Arabidopsis thaliana: one gene and its partners. The protein of the gene in region 2 interacts with the protein of the main gene of each other region in a pairwise test. Each region holds a gene or a part of one and is shown on either strand. Other genes may lie near its edges. The genes, in order: PRS, GATA6, RSZ22 and AT5G58340.

Region 1 (3,857 bases), on a different chromosome or scaffold from region 2:
AAAACCTGATAAATCAACCTCATAACTAACCACTTACACATCTAGCTGCGCCAGAACTGAGTTTTTTTGTTCACCATCTATTGAACTTTATCGATTTTTTTCGAGTAAACAATATTTTAAAAATCTTATTATATATAATGCATGTGTTTTTAACAGTTTGTTTATAACACAAAAAATAAGTTAATTTAACCACAATAATTTATTTCCCATACATTTTTAACATTTTGTATATAACACAAAAACGTAAGTCATACTATATTTATTTTATCTTTTTGCCAAACCATAAAAATATGTGATGTGAAGTTGTAATTAGTAAAAAAGCTTTGTAATCACTTTTAAATTATTATCATCATGAGAAAATAAAAGAGAGAAAGGAGAGAATCATAGTACATATCAAAAGGAAAGGTGACCACATCAAAATAAAGAGTGAAGTTACACGTTAGACAAAGGAGATCTTTCTCACTGTCTAGTCCTAAAGACAATAGCCTACACATGCATGCATGCAATTACAGAAACCAAGACACCCATTTTAACAACTCATAATAACTCCCAAACCCCATCAAAGATCTTATAAAAAGAAAAGAACTTTTAACAAAATTAATTTAAAGAAAAGTACCCATTAGTTCTACTGCGGAGATAGAGACATATGAAAGAAGAGAGAGAGAGATTTGTAGTTATTCAACGAATTATATCCAACGGCTATTACTTTACCCTCAAGTACACGTGTTTTCTTCTTAGCCTTTGACACATCATACAGTGATACATGAATGAAACACCTGCAGAATCTCTTTTGTATTTGTTGTCTTTTCTTTAAAGTTTGGTACTGTCTTGTTTGGAGTTGATAGATGAGATTGGGAAAAGTTCCAGGGTTTTCAATGGTATCTTTGGACTGCTCATCATCATGTTACAACATGAAATGGGTGATGATGATGATGAGGGATATGATGGTCGTGGGCCCATATCCATCATCATCATCCAATCTCGACCGTACGATGAGTTTGGACCCGTGATTGATTTTTGCATCAATATCTCTTCAGCTCCACTTTTGGTGCAGTAATATTCATTCATCACTTTGCTTGGAGCTTCTCCTACTCCAGTTCCCTATATTTTCCATAACAATGATCATCATACAATATAAAACTAACAAAAGAAAATTGTAGTAAACATATTAACAAGTTGTTATTCCTTTTTAAAACCAAAAAAAAAATTTTTTTATTCTAGACCCCAAAAAAAGTATTCTCACTTGCAGCTTTCCCATCTAGCCATGTAAACAGGGTATAATAGCCAAAAACATTTGGTATTTTAAAGGTTTGAAATTAGTGTTTCCGGTAATTAAAAAAATTATCATAAATAATTTTAAGGTTTGAGATTAGTTCTTCAATTATGTTTTTCTTCTTCTTTTTGTAGGTATACAAATGTTTTGGTTATATCCATATGTAACCTAGCTATTTTGATGATAAACATTGCATTAAAAAAATCTTATGAAAGAAAAATGTTTAACAAAAAGAGAGAAAAGTAGACTCTTCTTAATTACATACCTGATGAGGAAGACACATGGGAGAAGGATGAGAGCAGCAATCAAAGGACATATGATCATATGGACGATGATGATTATGATGATGATTATGATGGTGATGATGATAAGGATTGTGATGATCGATGATATTCTTATTAACTGGTTGAGAAATCATCGATGATATTGGTTTTGGTTTGATCTGCTGAAGTTGGAGTTGAAGTTGATGTTGTTGCTGGTGAAGTTGCTTGGCTAGTTTCTTCCTCAGCTTCTGTCTATCTCTAGCCTTATGGTTCTGGAACCAGTAAAAGACGTTTTTGCCCTCGATTCTTCCATAGAACGCCAAGTGAGCTGTGATCTGTTGTATCTGCACCGCATTCGGAGTCCGTATACCACTCCGGTACATCTCTTCCAAGATCATCAGTTGCTCCGGCGTCGGACACCACCTCGTTGAAGCCACAGGACTCATTCTCCGTTCAGACAAATATTGATGCTTTGTGTGTGTGTTCTCTAGTGATGCTATCTCCAAACACTTAGGGTTATATAGAGAGAGATGTGTGTGTGTGTGGATGAGGTTATTTATACGCGAAAACGGATGTTTATATGGTTAGAGAGAAAATGGTAAAGTTATAAATATTAAAGTGCATTGGAAAGGGACGCAAGAGAAGGAAGGGTTAGACAGAAAATAAACATAAAGAAAGAACATTGTACTATATTGTTTTTTATGTTGTATTCAAACTGGCCCAATCTCATATGCTCCCAAAATTATTACATTACGTACTCTACTTCTGTAAATGTGAATTTAGTATATATGTATAAAGGAATATATTTTTTGGAATAACTATAGTTTTCACCTTTCAAAGTTTATTTTGTCGGGAGTTTTCACTTTCGTCTACAGTAGTGTATATTAATATAGGGGATATAATCGAACGGCACATAATTCAAACATCATTGGTTGCAAAATGCAAATAACTCAAACATCATTGGTTTTAAATAGAAAGAAACGTTACATAATCACTTTGTAAAACATATAATCACTCTATGTAAGAAAAAAGTTTTGTAGAATAGCTTACGACATTCTCCAAAATTATGTGCCTTTTCTCTTAAAAGGGGAGAGAAAGAGAAAAGGAACAAAAATCAAAGAGAAACAATGAAGGTGTATGGGTTCTCGAGGTGGATCATTCAATAGGTTTTTAAAATATATACAATTCTCTCTTACAATTAATTAAGACATTGACTCATCCTTCTGTGTACAAACATAAAACCACAGTCTCATTTTTATTTTTGTGCAGAAAGGTGAAACATACAAAACAAAGAGAAACGCCAGTACTCATTAACAAATGATAAATTTACATTTTTATAGATTATAAAAAGTTCCACAAAAAATTATAATTAGATATTATCACTAAAATATGATCAATCATATCAAGACCTAGAATATATAAACATATGTGTACATATGTATCTGTGTGAATATGCATGTATGTAGAGAGAGAATGAAGAGAAACAATTAAATGATTATGTCATAATTACTTTATTATGATTTACTTCTCTCAACAGGATGACGTTGACACATCATATTAAAAGAAAAAAATGGTTAAATTTCTCAAATCTTTACATGGACAGACAAGCTAGTAAATAGGTACACCAATGTGAAATGAAAATATACGCGTTCTATGTATTAATTATGTTTTCATGATCTAACATACACCATTATAATCAGAAGTACATTTACTTTTAATTTACACATTGACATGTATTGATTTAACAAATTTTGTAAATTAAGACATAAAAATGAGTTTCAAATATCACATCAGGCATAGAATTGTCTGTTTAGAATCTCCAGAAACTGAGCATTTTGACTTTAACGTCTGCATGCAAAAACATTGCATGCATTAGCATTCGCACCTATATATTAGTTGTCTATAGGCTCCAAAGCCCTGTCTCTGCCCCTCTGTCAACATTCTTGATTCTGGATATTCAATTCTTTTGGGACTAAAGGATATTAATGTCCTCTTCTAGAAATAATCATATTGAAATTCCACATTTTTAAATTCTACATTACCAATAATATTTCAGTTAAAAACCTATAAAGTTTATAGCTCGATTTGTTAGGTTTGGTGAAGAAAGTTTCAGGTCGGCTTTTTGAAAAGAAAATAAAAAAAGAGTTTCAGGTCGGTGATATAACCGTAAAAAGTTAGATATTTAATTTTCATGATTTAGTTCAAGTAATTAAAGTCCTATTTATTAGGTGGCTATATATACTAACGAAAACACAATACATATACGTATCTTAATGCCGGAGTATTAGTTTAGGTTGATTGGTTCCGGCATGCGGACATTT
Region 2 (3,926 bases):
CTCAACTAAAACCATACGAGGAATAAAGTCCCAAGGTAAATTGGTAATTCGTGATAATCTCAAAGATATGGTCAACGAATATTATCACATTGCAAAAATGGATAATATTATCACGTCAACTAAGGTCGTATTCAATCTCCAAAAATACGCAGAGTAATAAATTAGTCAATAAGAGAGTGTGCCCAGTACGTTTATTTTTCTTTTTTCAGTTATTGTATATATTTTTATTTGTGAAATTTGTTTTTTTTTTCAGTTATATTATGTCAATTTTAGAAATACAAGAGAAAATGTGATGGATATAAATAAGTAACAACAAAAAATTGGAGTTACTAACCCTGAAATAAAGCCTACTCCTAATTTGGTATAAATTGATCTCATATTTTATACACTTGATAACTATCAGTCTACCAATAATTATTGAGCATACATTCTAACTAGAAAATGAACCATCTCTATCAATTAATATAAAAACTATATATTATAACGTAAATATAACGTTAGAGGAGGTTAAGAAAAAAAGAATTCTGAAAATTAATGCGAAACAAAACAAATATAATAGTAAGAGTTTTAAAAGTTTTAACCAGTTACTAAATCTAAAAACCTACTACGACTAACAAACAAAAAATCAAATTTGTAATTTAAAACATACATAACCCGTTAACATACTAACTGGTGATAAATCTGAACCGGGTCGGATCCTAATTCTGCTCCTTTAAAAACCTTCCACAATTTCTTCAAAAACTCGAGACAACCTGAACCGTCTGAACCGGCTGGTTCAAACCGGTTTCTTCAGCACCGTCAGAAGTCTCTTTCTTCCTACGCATCTCAATGACTTTACTGTGGTGGTTTGAGTGAAGCTCACTCGAAAATGTTGGGCTACAAGCGGGTCTATATTCGGGTAGTAACCGACCCGATTTGTAACGCACACCACACGCATTACACAACGTCTTCGCTCCTAATGGTCCTGCTCTCCACTGCGGCGTTTTCTGAACTCCACAATGACCACACTGCCGCGTCTGCGTCTGCGTTTGCGTTTGCGTCTGACCAGCGTTTTTCCAAACTTTCTTCTTCTTTTGTGTTTTAGTCATTGGCTCATCAAGAAACTGACCGCTGGCGAGCCATAGAGGGCTTGAAGGACGAGGAGAGGACGACGAAGATGTTGTAGAGCTTGAAGATGAGTCGGTTAACGACTGCGAACCATGAGACCAGACTCTGACTCCGGTTCTGGCTCGTTTGGGTCTGGTTTTGACGGCCGGATGTTGGGATTTGAAGCAGGTCTCCTCTTTAACCGGTTGTACAAGATGTCTCCGATTTCCGGTTAACCAAACCGGTTTATTCGTCGGAGCAGAATACGGCGTGAAAGAAGAATCATCTACGAAATTTGATAACCATTCAAGTTCCGCTATATCATCCATCTAACAATCAAAACATGAAAAGCAAGAAATTAACAATGCAATGACTGATAATTTTTATAAATTTTGCGAAAATGAAAACACAAATTCATACCGGAACGGAAAGCCCGCTAGTGTGGAAATCAGCGGTGGAGAAATCGTTGCTCCGGTGAAGGGTATTTTCGTCAGAGACTCCTCTTTTTCGTTGTACTTTCAATTCAGCCTCATCCTCAACCAAAACGTCGTCGTCTTCTTCTTCTTTTGAGAAGTCAAGCAAGTCGTCGACGGAGAAATCATCGCCATTTTGAGCGCCGCCGGTTAGGGTTTTGTCTTTCATGTTACTGTTCTTCAACGTCAATTCAACACTCTCCATTATTTCCTATCAAACCCCACCAACACAAATTAGGTTTTCTTCTTTTCTTTTGGCTTCCTCAGAATTATCAAAAACTCTCCAAAAATTATCTTTAAAAAAAAAACTCCCCCCGAAAAAAAAAACGTTCCTTTATTTTTCCAAATTCAAACAGAAAAACCCAAAAGAAAAATCACGAAAACCCAGAACCACAACTTGGTGAAACGAACCATGATTTGACTAAGCCACAGATAAAAATTCAATCTTTTTCAAACAATGTGACGAGTAAGTAACCTTCAAAAAAAACTAAAATTGGAATTACCTGAGATGAGAAGAGACAGAGAGTGAAGAGAGGAGATATGTCGGTGAATGAGAAGAAGAAGAAGAGTGGTGAGAATTTAGAAGAAGAGGTGAGTTTGGTAAAGCATTGAATATGATAGTGACTCCAGACCAAAGCCCTCTTCTCCTAAAACTAAAAAAGTTGTGAGTTTCTCTTCTTTATTCTTTCTCAATCTCTTATTTTCCCAAGAACCAAAAAAAAAAGATAAAAATTGAAATATTTTGCTTTGGTGGGAACTATTTTTTTTTACCTTTTTACTCAACCGGCAAAAATTCATAAAAATGTCTACTTTTTGTAAATTCAAAGCGTACATACGCGCTACTGTGAAACGAGAGATGACTGAAAAAAGAACGGTCTCGTTTTCGTTACCCAATCACATACATATTTGGGCTGTATTGGGCTATGTTGGGCTGGGCTTTCTGAAATTTTACGATTTGGGTATCTCATTAACAATGGCTTTTCTCCTCCCGTCTTCTTCAATTCAAAACTGTTTGTGATGATTACTCAGCGATATGCGATTAAAAGCTTCAAATTTGCAGAAACCCATCTTCTTCAGCTCCTACTCTGCCCATGATGTCAGATTCTCTTCTTTCTTAACCTCTCTTTTGAATTCATATGTGGGCTTAAGATTGTTGGTTTCATTTCATGTCTACTTTATTCCTTTTGTAATTTGACTTTTCGCTACCTGTCAATAGCTTATGGTGAATTTGGCTTGTGGTATCGCTAAAGCATCATAATCTCTTCTTCATTACTGCTATGTTTCTACTTGTTGGAACAAAATTTCATTTATTGGTGTGCCTTACTTTTCCCAGTGAAATGATTCATAGCCTTACAAGAGAATATCATAACCATGTTAAAAAAAGCAATATGAAGTAAGGAAAACAAAAATGTTCTAATTAGTCTATATAGTTTAAGAAGACTAAAGCTATTTCTTATACTGACAAATTCTTTTGGGGATTATAGATATGAGTAGTGTGTTGTATTATAATGATGCTTCTGCTACTTTCAAATGCAGATTCTCAGAGCGTCTTTCATTGAGAAGTTTCTGGTCTCCAGAATCCTTTTTGTGCACTTAAGATTCCTTCTTGGTGTTTGGAGAAAGTTAAGTGAACATCCCAGTGCAGTGACTTCAACATGTTCTCAACTTCTCTTATCACATTTGATTCGTCACGAACTATTAGTTTACCTCCTGGTCTTACTATTCTATCCACTTCTGCCATTACTGGAACAAGATTGCACCTTTCAAAACAAAACAAAACAAGAGACTTATTGTTGATGAAACGTTACCAAAAGGTGTGGATATTATGAGTTACGCTTATACCTTGTTCTCAACTTTGAGAAAAGATGATCTGCATGTAAGAGATCATAGCTTCGAGGGTATGTGCTAAATGATTCACACCAGTCATGATATATTCCGAATAGGCCTCTCTCGTAGATTATCGGTAGTGTATCTGGTGAATTTATGTTTACTACATTCATTACCCACACCTGTAGGTCCTTCAGAGCTGCTGCAAACCTGCATTTTTACGTAGTTAGTAAAAAAAGGTTTAGTTTTGGTAAGTGAGATTTTAGTTTGATTTGTTTTCGTTGATGCTCACCCTCCGTAGACAGCTCGCATGTCCATTACATTCCTCACATTTGACCAGCTGATTCCTATTTCATTCATGTATACTTTGCTTACAACATGTTTCCAGTGTTCATAATCTGTAGTGAAATCTCGAGGAGCTGGTTTCCCATATATCCCCATTTGAGAGCTGTTTAACCAGTAAGGCGGTGTTTGAAGCCGACGGGGCCAATTCACGGGCCACTTGCTTCCTCTCTCGACCACATTGGTAGGAACTTTATG
Region 3 (5,035 bases), on a different chromosome or scaffold from region 2:
GTGGAAAGAGATTGTAACTGTAAATAACTAACAAGAACCAGTTTTCTGACTAAACTGAAACAAGAGAAAGACCAATATTTATTGTATTCTCTGAGGATCTTAGGACATTCTCAACTTAGTGTCGGTGAAAAGTGAAGAAACGTGGAGCAAAAAAAGTGTCGGCAGAGGAAGTGGAATGAGGAGAAGCATAATTGCAGAAAAAAAGCAGAGGTCAGAGAGGTTTACGTCACATAACAATCAATTCAATGATGTGTAAGTGAAGAATGGGACCAAACAGATTTTAATTTGGTGGGTTTGTTGATGATTCTGGGACCGAACTAGGATCATGATCTTGTCTCTCTTGCTTTTCTAGGCTTTTAATTGTTGTCATGCCAAAACAACGTCTCCATGTCTACTTCGCAAGTATACTTTTATTTTTTCACTTAATTTGGGATTTATAGTTGCTGAAACGAAACCATAGCTAGTTGTTACGTGAATAAGAGCAAATCAGATTATGTATTCAATCTTCCTCTTAGGCAATTACTTTGCTTCACCTTCATAAAAGTGAACAATTTCACAACTATGCTTAAGTGAAATGAACACAAGTACCAAATGGTAGCAACTGATACGCATTTACAAATTCTTGACTTGCCTATATAAACCGTGAAATGCACAAAAATCTATCCAAGGACAAGAATGTGCATACTAAACACTATCACATAGCTACAATTATGCTAAACCTAATGCACAACATTCAGACCACACAAGAGGTGCTTCTGAGTGATGCAGCTCAAGTTCATGCAAAGAAGGTAACCTCAAAGCTGATGAAGTTTTCAAACAATAGCGCATCTCTAGGGTCGAAGATGAAGTAGAAGCAAGCCATGTAGGGATCCACAACCGTAGTTAACTTTTCCCATAGCAGGCCGAGTAACTAAACGAAGATGATTCATAGCAGAAGAGTAGAGAAGCAAGTAGATAAACAATGAAGCAGGCCGAGCAACTAAATGAAGATGATGTTAGGGATCCACAACCGTGGTTTAACTTTTCCCATACCAGGCCGAGCAACTAAATGCAGATGATTCATAGCAGAAGAGTAGAGAAGCAAGCAGATAAACAATGAAGTAGGCCAAGAAACTAAGGAAGATGCTTCATATGAGAAGAGTAGAGAAGCAAGTAGATAAGCAATGAAGCAGTAGTAGTAGTAGTAGACCCGAAGAAACCTCGACACGGTGGAAAAAGACAAGAAACGCTTAGGCATTTAGCAGAATTTCCAATCAAACATTATGTCTTTAAGAAACTAGGGTACGAATCAAGTGTTCTTTTACCTATTGGTAGATACACAACTACGTACGTTTCATATCCAAAAGCAAAAGTAGCAAGCTTTATCCAACCCAGCAGACCTAAAACATGTTCTCTTACTGAAATTCATAGATGATAGTAACTTCCCTTAGTCCCTCTCTTCTTCTCTTCCAAAGTATCCTCCCACACACTCGTTTTCTTGCAAAATCACTCACTCAGCTCCTGCTTCTGCGTCTTTCTTTCAGTCCATTTCTGAAGAAACAAGAACAGATGTTGAATTAGCATCTGAAGAAAATGTAAATGTTTATCTCTAAGAACTATAACCAAAACCTAAACACTGATAATGATATAGAGACTTGGGAAAAAGAAATTTACCCATTAGCATATGGCACTTCCTCACGCGCTCTGTATGGAGGTGGTGATCTACTGTAGCTGCGGCCACGGGCAGGAGGAGGAGAAGGACTGCGGCGCCTTGGAGGAGGGGGAGATCTTGCACGAGGGCTGTAACTCCTAAAACCAGAAAAAGGCAAGGTTACTTAATCCGTTCAAAATAAGGTACTAAGGTAACAAAATAAAAAGCATCACTGACCTCCGTCCATAGCTTGGGCTCCTTCTGTATCTTGGAGGAGTGCGACTACGGCTCTTGCTGCGACGCCTTCCAGTTCCACCACGGTTACGGCATTCACGTGCGAAATGACCAGTCTCACCGCATTCATAGCATTTCAAATCAGAGCCACCACGACCACCACGGCCGCCGCCACCACCTCCACGGTCACCACCACGACCGCCGCCACCACGCTCACCTCGATTGTGAGACTGTTCAACCCTCCAGCCATTCTTGCCTATCCGTTATCACAATATCCATGTCAAATTGTGAAGTTTCAAGTCAAAAGTAATTGCAAACCTCAAATTTCTCTCCTTTAAAAGATTCCACCAAACTTATTTTCCAATCCCAATCAAAACATCAACTTCTAAGAGAACAAAGCAAAATAGAAAGAATATGAATGCATCATTACCATCTAAAGCACGGATAGCATCACGGGCATCCCTAGGATCTTCGAAATCTAGAAAAGCGTAACCAGGTGGTCTACGGGCAACCCAAACACTGCACATTACATATGAACATTAGAGAGATGCAAAATTGGATACTTTTAACTTCAAAAGTGACAAAATTGTAGCGCGAACTGATTGATTGGATTGATTCTTACCTCCTGACAACTCCAAAGGCACGGAACTCATCCTCAAGTTCACGCTCAGTAACTCGCGGGTCCAAATTTCCGACGTACACACGTGACATTACTTCTGTAACCTGTCAATGGCACAATAAACCAAGGTCAACATAAAGGAATTCTAAATCTTTTCTAGTAAGACATTCGAAAGGATTTGAATTCATCGAGAAAAAATACAGAGTCACTAGATCCACCAAGTGACCCGATCAAATTTGAACAGATCGGATCAACGTTACCACAATTAAGAGTGAGAAGGAGATAAAGAAACTTGGTTGCGACCTACCTTGTGGGAAGAGCTGAAAGCACTCAAGGGGCAAAAAGAATGGCTTTTTCTGTGTTTTGCTTTGTGAAGAAATTAGGGTTTCTGAATCTGAAATTTGATGAAATACTTTCCAAAGGGTTTTGTAAGCGCGTTAACAAAATTTAGTAAATATACAATTTGGGCCTATTTATTGGGCTTAAAAGTAGCCTTTTCATGCCTTTTTTCAATAATATGTTAGTGTCGGTGATATTTATTTTTTCTCTGTATAGTTTGTTAAATACTTAAATGTGATCATTTCACGTATTTTGCTTTGTATTTCTGAAAATAATGAATAGCAGAATAGGGAAAAAGAAAAATAATAGAACTTCAAGTCTCTCTAGTTAAATCACACTTTCATTCCACAGCTACTAAATAAACTTTCTTTCTTATTCGTTTGAAAACCCAAGCAGTTTGTGATTCGGATCAATAAAAATGCTGAAACCACAGTTTGCTTGGTTAATATAAGCTAAACAATGAATTAAAAACAAAGACAAAGACAAAAAAAAAAAAAAAAAAAAAAAAAAAAAATTAGTGTTGGAGACGACAACACATCACCACTTTGATGAGCCCATGCATGCTATAACGAGAAACCAGCTGCAAATATACGATTAAAACACGTCTTAAAAGCTTAGCAAATCAAGCTACTCTTTGCAACTTGTTTTGGGATTAAAAAAAAAAAAGTCAGTAATGAGCTTACGAAATTGGAAGTTTGGTTAGACCACGAAAGCAGCCAAAAGAGCATGCAATATCGCCCAGTATAGCATGATCCCTAACCGTAAAGCAGGTTGTCTCATGAGCGTCCGATCACAAGAGACCCTGAAAAGTTCAGAAACCAAATAAAAGGGTCGTTTTTTGTTAGATCATAATTAAAGAACTTTACACTGAACGAGATCCATGGATGAAAAGAGTCTGACCATAAACCATCGACCATGTTAGTGATGGGTCTTGTGAATCTAGGAATGATTCTTGACGTAGAGAGTGATCTGAAACCATGAGCTAAAAAACAGAAAAAATACAAATGGGAATGTTACTAAGAAATGTTGTTAAAAGTACTAAATATTCAGAGACAAGTTTAATTACCTTTATCATCATCTTCTTCTAAGCTACCGCTTTGATCAGTTTGATCTGCATCTATACTAATGGCGACTTGATCCATATTTCCCTTACGCAAACTCCGGACTTGTGATGGAATCGATGTTTTTGTCCACTTGTTTATCTGTGATATCCAACAAAAAAAAATCCACAATTAAAAATTTATCATCTTGAGGCATCTGGAATGGTGTAACTATTTAACAAGCTCAAAGCTTACCAGAGGTTCCACTTCAACGATCTCTGACGTCGAGCTTGTTGAAATGTCTTGTTGGGATTCTTTCTCAAGTAAGAATTTCTCAAGAGTTGCTTCTTTCTGTCTGAGCTCAGCCACTCTACTCCTCTCGCCTTCAAGCAAAACGTCCTTGCTTTGTCCAACCAACCGTAATTCGTCTATTTCAGATAGCATAGACGCTATCCTTTTCTCAAATGTCTCCATGTAGTGGTTTATATGACTGTCAGCATCAGTGGACAGCGAATCTTCTATACCAAGTAGTGAAGCTATCGTGTCGAACCAAGACAGTACAGTTTGGATCTCTTCTGAATCTCTCTTAGTGCCCATCTGAGAAGCAGCAAGAGCCTCATTGGTGCACCTAGTGACTTCTTGTCTTAAGAAAGAAACCTCTGTATCCCGATCTTGCACTTGCTGTTGAAGTTTCTCGATTTCAGCAAGAAGATTTTCAGAGAGGTGATGGAGCTCATCGAATTTATCCACAGTAATTGATAGCTTTTTGGAAATCTTCCCACGAGAAGCTTCAGCTTTCTGCAAGTCTAGGTTCTTCTGTTGCACTTCCTGTTCTAATTCTGTAACTCTGAGTTTCAGATCCTCCATCTGAGACTCTTCCTCGTCAAGCGCTTGCATTAAGGCCTCAATTTCTGCAGGAAGCAATTAGGTATCAGCTATATATGTGGCGGTGCAAAAACAAAAGGGTAAAAGAGAAAAACTGACCTAGGTCTTTCGCAGCTAGTAGATCACTAAGAGATGTGACCTTCTCCTGTAATTCTGAGTGTGACGCCTGCCCTGCTAGCAGCTCTTTTACTCTCTCCTTCATAGAATCCCGTTCCCGAACCAAAATACCCAGCTGGTCTTGCATATCACGCATCCGGGCACTTGCAGATTGAAGATCTTCCGCAAAGA
Region 4 (4,937 bases), on a different chromosome or scaffold from region 2:
CACTGTCTTCATCGCTCCCCTTCCAAGAATTTCTGCAAACTGTTCCAACATAAAAAACCAAGTGTTACAACAAGGTTTTGATCCATGAACATAGAATCTGTCTCCTTACTTACACGTCCATAGCGACCAGTTGGATCAGTTTCCACATACTCTGCAACTTGATTCATATTCATGGTTGACCAAAAACCGATTGATGATCCCAAAAATGTTTAAGAGGACACAGACTTTCGTTTTTATAACAGAGAAATTTTCCGGTGGCCAAAAGTCGTCCTGTTTACTTCTTCGTGCTACTTCATTAAAGAAGCGTCAGCAGAAAATATGTTGAACAGTCGTTGGCGTCAATCACCCATTTGGGATAAAAAGAATAAAGACAATTTGCCTTAACCTTGCTTGCATCACATATATTATAGAAAATCATATATTTATTTTTATTGACCCAATTGTAAATCTAAAAATCGAAAGTTTGACAAATCTTACTTGCCAATACAAGATACTCAAACCACAAAAATGAAAAAAAAATCATCAAACGTGTACCACATTGAAAACACATGGCTAAATATGCTCAAAAGATGCCCTTGTTTATTTTGTGAACCACAAACACAATTGCAAAGAGGATAAGAGTTAAGAAAGTGTGGATACTGGGAAATGCGATATTCAGGAAAGAGTTTTGTTTCTTGAGGAAACTGCACAATTTTCAATTGAACCAATTATTAGTTTGGTGAACACAAGCAATCCAAAATAAATAGATTGAGGTTAACAAAAATAAAACGACAAAGAAAAGGGGAAAAGTCAGAACAGAAGTGGGGAACATGACAAGAAGTTGTAGAGAATAGAGTGATAGTGACATCACCGTTGAAAATTGTTTTGTTTTTGTTGGCGGCCAGTTCCTGCAGCCCTCAAGGAGTTCACGGTTCTGTAATAAACTAATAACACGTAACAAATATGCATTCACCAATAAAGTATGTGCATGAGAGCTCCCATCATATTACTTCGCTTTTTATCTAAGGAGGGTCTGAATGTTAACAGGCAATATCTAAGGAGGGTCCGAATGTTTGACAGGCAATATCATAGATCAAAATGGTTATGCATTTTTTGACTACTGTTTTGTTCTGGTTTAGATGTTAGTTGACACGTGGAAAAGGAGAGAGGGAAGCATGGTAGGAATTAGGAAATGAAGATAAGGATGGAATATATCTAAAACAAGAAAAGCCGTATAAGTTTGACACTGACTGACTACAGAGGTTGCAGCCAGAATTTTTCCCACAAGCATATAATTATATTCTGCTCATTCATCATTATCATTCACCACACAACATGGGAATGGCCCTTTCTCCACCATGTTCTCCACAGTTGATATATCACAATACACAAAGGTAAATAACTCTACAGCATTTTAAAACATATAGCACAAGATTCACAAAAGATGTTACCTCTACCCACCGACTAAGTTCCTCCATTTATCTTTCAAATCCACCTACCAAGTTACAACATTTACATCACTCACACTTGGCATATATCTTGTTCAAGTAAATGGTGAGTATGAATGTTAATAAGGAAATGTTCACCTCTGTCCTCTCCGCAAATACTGTAGGGTTTCCATTCTTTATATCTTTCCATGATTTACCATACCTGCACAACAACAACAACAAAATGAGCCAGTGGTATAATCTTAATGAGGTCCAAGATGTATCACTATTGAATATTGATAATAGAGTACGGGACTAGGCAAAGAGTGTTTGCATACTCTTTTACTCCTTCCCTCAGAGCTTCCACTTCTTCTGGCTTCCAGAATTTCTTTGGTCTCCTGACATGTGGTTTCGCCAATCCGCCTTTCTTTAATGGAGATACACTCAGAGTTACAGGGGTTGGTCGACGAGGCCGAACTCTGCTAGACCATGTTTCCTGACTATCCGAACCTTTCTCATTTACATTATCCTGTTTTCACAATTAAACCACAAATTCATGAACCAAAGAACAAGATTTTTAGAAAGCATCTTGAGGGAAAATTGACTAACACTCACCGATGCTTCGTTATGGTCTTGACAGCCTGTTCCAGTCCTATTCACCCGAGTAGGCGGAGGAGTGACATCTACTGAGTGATCAATTGCACTGTTAGGTTCTTCCCCTTGCCTAGTGGAAGGGTCGATGTGTCCTTGAATCTCTACTAAATATTCCTTCAGCTCTCGAGCAGCCATTTCGTCTCCCTTATCAAGACTTGGCTCATGTTCCTGATCTTGTGCACTCACTGTGTGCTCCTCGTCTGCTGCATTCACATTATCAATCCCATCATTCTCCAGACATTCCATTCCTTCACCATCATTAGCGTTGTCTCTACCAATCCCATTCCCGTCCTCCCTTTCACCACGCGCCTCGTTGGCGATATCAATAGTATCACTCCCAAAACGTCTCGTGCTTTCATCAACATCACTTTGATCCCCTCTGTTGTCAACAACATCACCCTCTACGTTCACAGCCTTGCGCTTAAGAAACCTTCTTTGAGCTACTGATTCAAGAGAGGAACTCCCAAGTAATGCCCACTGTTCTTTGAGAAGCTGAGTGAGAAAGGAAATGGCAGTGTACCTGATGTTAGTCTCACGAATTCGCTGATAGAGCTCAGGATCTCCAAGGGCCTTCTTCAAATCACTCTCCCATTTCAACAAGTCACAAGTCACCAAATCGCTACCACTCTCCTTCAAAATCCCAATCCTCTTCGTCCATATCCTCTCAAGCGCATCGGTGAACAAACCATCCGAAGCAAACATTGGCCACATAAATCTAAGCGTACACTCAGTAGCCGTCCAGCAATAAGCAGACTTGTGAGAATCCATGAGTAGCGAATGTTGCTGCAAGAGAAGCTTCTCAAGAATCTCGAGAAGATCGAGCATTCCCTCATCAATCGTACCTCGGATCAATGAATTGGAGATGTCACGCAAGACGGAAGATATCTTGAGCTTTATGCAGTCGGAGGAATCTCCTAATTTTAGCGCCGAAATCAGATTAATAGGGGAAGCCCTAGGATTGTGTTGTCGAAGGAGGAAAAATTCAGCAACCCATTGATCAATGACCTCCATTATTGAAACTTTCGCGATCAAAGTCGCAACTTTTTTAATTCTCTGGTCAGCGGATGCAATGTCGCCGGCGAAGACGAAAATCTCCGATCAGTGATCAAATTCGAACGGTTTCAGGTATATTCTGTTATTGGGCCTTAACTGGGCCTAAAAGTCAAAAGAAGATAAACGGTGAGGATGCTAAAAGAGTGACAAGTGTCAAGAGCTGAGCCTTATCCATAGATTCCCCAATCCTCTTTCTTACTACTCTGTCGCTTGGCGCGCTCTCTCTCCATAGTTCCAGTTCTGAAATCTCACTTTCACAGTTTGTGTCTGTGCGATAATGGCCATGGCAGAGCTCTCAACCCCCAAAACGACGTCGCCTTTTCTCAACTCTTCGTCTCGGCTTCGTCTCTCTTCAAAATTGCACCTTTCAAACCACTTTCGCCATCTTCTTCTTCCACCTCTCCACACAACAACTCCCAACTCCAAAATCTCTTGCTCCGTTTCTCAAAAGTAAGTCTCTTTAAGCTCCTAATCGTTTCTTCTCTCTTAAATAAATCAACTTTATCTGATCTTAGATGCTTTTGTGAATTGATGATAAAAGTAGCCAAGCTCCTGTTGCTGTGCAAGAAAATGGATTGGTGAAGACGAAGAAAGAGTGTTATGGAGTGTTCTGCCTCACCTATGATCTTAAAGCTGTATCTTACTATTCCCTCTTACTATTTTTCTATAAAAGAATCTTATCTTTGAGACTTGAGAATTGAGATAATCCTCTGCTTTACATGGATATAATAGTATTATGTGTGTGTTTGCCAGGAAGAAGAGACAAGATCATGGAAGAAGTTAATTAATATTGCAGTTTCAGGTGCTGCAGGAATGATTTCTAACCATCTTCTCTTCAAAGTAAGTTAATCCTTTAAGTTACTGTTTTATAGGATAAGGTTACCAATAATTGGTCTTATTTTATGTATCTTTGGTTTTCCGGGTGTGTAGCTTGCTTCAGGGGAAGTATTTGGTCCAGATCAACCCATTGCATTGAAACTGCTAGGATCAGAGAGATCAATTCAAGCTCTTGAAGGTGTTGCAATGGAACTGGAGGATTCATTGTTCCCATTGTTGAGAGAAGTTGATATAGGAACAGATCCAAATGAAGTGTTCCAAGATGTGGAGTGGGCTATTCTGATTGGAGCAAAACCTCGAGGCCCTGGAATGGAACGTGCTGACTTGTTGGACATCAATGGCCAAATCTTTGCTGAGCAGGGCAAAGCTCTGAACAAAGCTGCCTCTCCTAACGTCAAGGTTCTTGTAGTGGGAAACCCTTGCAACACCAAGTAAGCTACATTCCTTAATTCAACCCTCTTCATATCGTAATCAGTGACAAACATTGGAAGTATACTTTACCTCATTTTGTGTTCTTTCAGTGCCTTGATTTGTCTTAAAAATGCTCCCAACATTCCTGCAAAGAACTTCCATGCCCTCACGAGGTTAGACGAAAATCGTGCCAAATGCCAGGTACTAGATTTCACACCTATATGTGATTGTATGCAATATATTTGCATACATATGATTGACAATTTCCATTTTGTAGCTTGCTCTTAAAGCCGGTGTTTTCTATGACAAAGTGTCTAATATGACCATATGGGGAAATCACTCCACGACTCAGGTTTGCCTTATCTTACTCTAGTGTCATCTATTCTCTACATTTATCTTGGGATGTTTCTCTAATCTTTTAGAGGAAAATTAGGTGCCAGACTTCTTAAATGCCAGAATTAATGGCCTGCCTGTGAAGGAGGTTATTACAGATCACAAATGGTTAGAAGAGGGATTCACTGAGAGTGTGCAGAAGGTAAGATGGCGATTCCTCTGATAATGAAATGATTTCTGCAA

The links.
Region 1: the proteins of GATA6 (region 2) and PRS interact in a two-hybrid assay, tested with the Arabidopsis thaliana proteins (one large-scale study listed by BioGRID).
Region 3: the proteins of GATA6 (region 2) and RSZ22 interact in a two-hybrid assay, tested with the Arabidopsis thaliana proteins (one large-scale study listed by BioGRID).
Region 4: the proteins of GATA6 (region 2) and AT5G58340 interact in a two-hybrid assay, tested with the Arabidopsis thaliana proteins (one large-scale study listed by BioGRID).

The regions. Positions count from the first base shown.
Region 1 is NC_003071.7:12,260,240-12,264,096, reverse strand, and holds PRS (Homeodomain-like superfamily protein), read right to left. Parts: upstream 2,085-3,857; 5' UTR 1,983-2,084; coding exon 1,539-1,982; intron 1,102-1,538; coding exon 811-1,101; 3' UTR 502-810; downstream 1-501. UniProt on the Arabidopsis thaliana protein: Probable transcription factor required to initiate organ founder cells in a lateral domain of shoot meristems.
Region 2 is NC_003074.8:18,971,477-18,975,402, reverse strand, and holds GATA6 (GATA transcription factor 6), read right to left. Parts: upstream 2,278-3,926; 5' UTR 2,063-2,277; intron 1,771-2,062; 5' UTR 1,765-1,770; coding exon 1,507-1,764; intron 1,416-1,506; coding exon 735-1,415; 3' UTR 511-734; downstream 1-510. Other genes in the region: AT3G51070 (S-adenosyl-L-methionine-dependent methyltransferases superfamily protein), read right to left, coding at 3,112-3,319, 3,402-3,596, 3,679-3,926. UniProt on the Arabidopsis thaliana protein: Transcriptional activator that specifically binds 5'-GATA-3' or 5'-GAT-3' motifs within gene promoters. May be involved in the regulation of some light-responsive genes.
Region 3 is NC_003075.7:15,304,523-15,309,557, reverse strand, and holds RSZ22 (serine/arginine-rich 22), read right to left. Parts: upstream 3,015-5,035; 5' UTR 2,791-3,014; exon of another isoform or gene 2,787-2,790; intron 2,588-2,786; 5' UTR 2,576-2,587; coding exon 2,487-2,575; intron 2,384-2,486; coding exon 2,295-2,383; intron 2,121-2,294; coding exon 1,868-2,120; intron 1,789-1,867; coding exon 1,654-1,788; intron 1,531-1,653; coding exon 1,494-1,530; 3' UTR 523-1,493; downstream 1-522. Other genes in the region: AT4G31570 (nucleoporin), read right to left, coding at 3,522-3,624, 3,689-3,791, 3,889-4,024, 4,118-4,773, 4,847-5,035. UniProt on the Arabidopsis thaliana protein: Sequence-specific RNA-binding protein probably involved in pre-mRNA splicing. In vitro, can complement efficiently splicing-deficient mammalian SRSF7-depleted HeLa cell extract.
Region 4 is NC_003076.8:23,580,741-23,585,677, reverse strand, and holds AT5G58340 (myb-like HTH transcriptional regulator family protein), read right to left. Parts: upstream 3,184-4,937; 5' UTR 3,072-3,183; coding exon 2,022-3,071; intron 1,936-2,021; coding exon 1,745-1,935; intron 1,630-1,744; coding exon 1,566-1,629; intron 1,475-1,565; coding exon 1,433-1,474; 3' UTR 1,431-1,432; exon of another isoform or gene 1,208-1,430; intron 914-1,207; 3' UTR 851-913; exon of another isoform or gene 684-850; 3' UTR 530-683; downstream 1-529. Other genes in the region: WNK4 (with no lysine (K) kinase 4), read right to left, coding at 1-39, 114-173; AT5G58330 (lactate/malate dehydrogenase family protein), read left to right, coding at 3,391-3,563, 3,655-3,748, 3,867-3,953, 4,044-4,381, 4,472-4,562, 4,639-4,713, 4,795-4,896.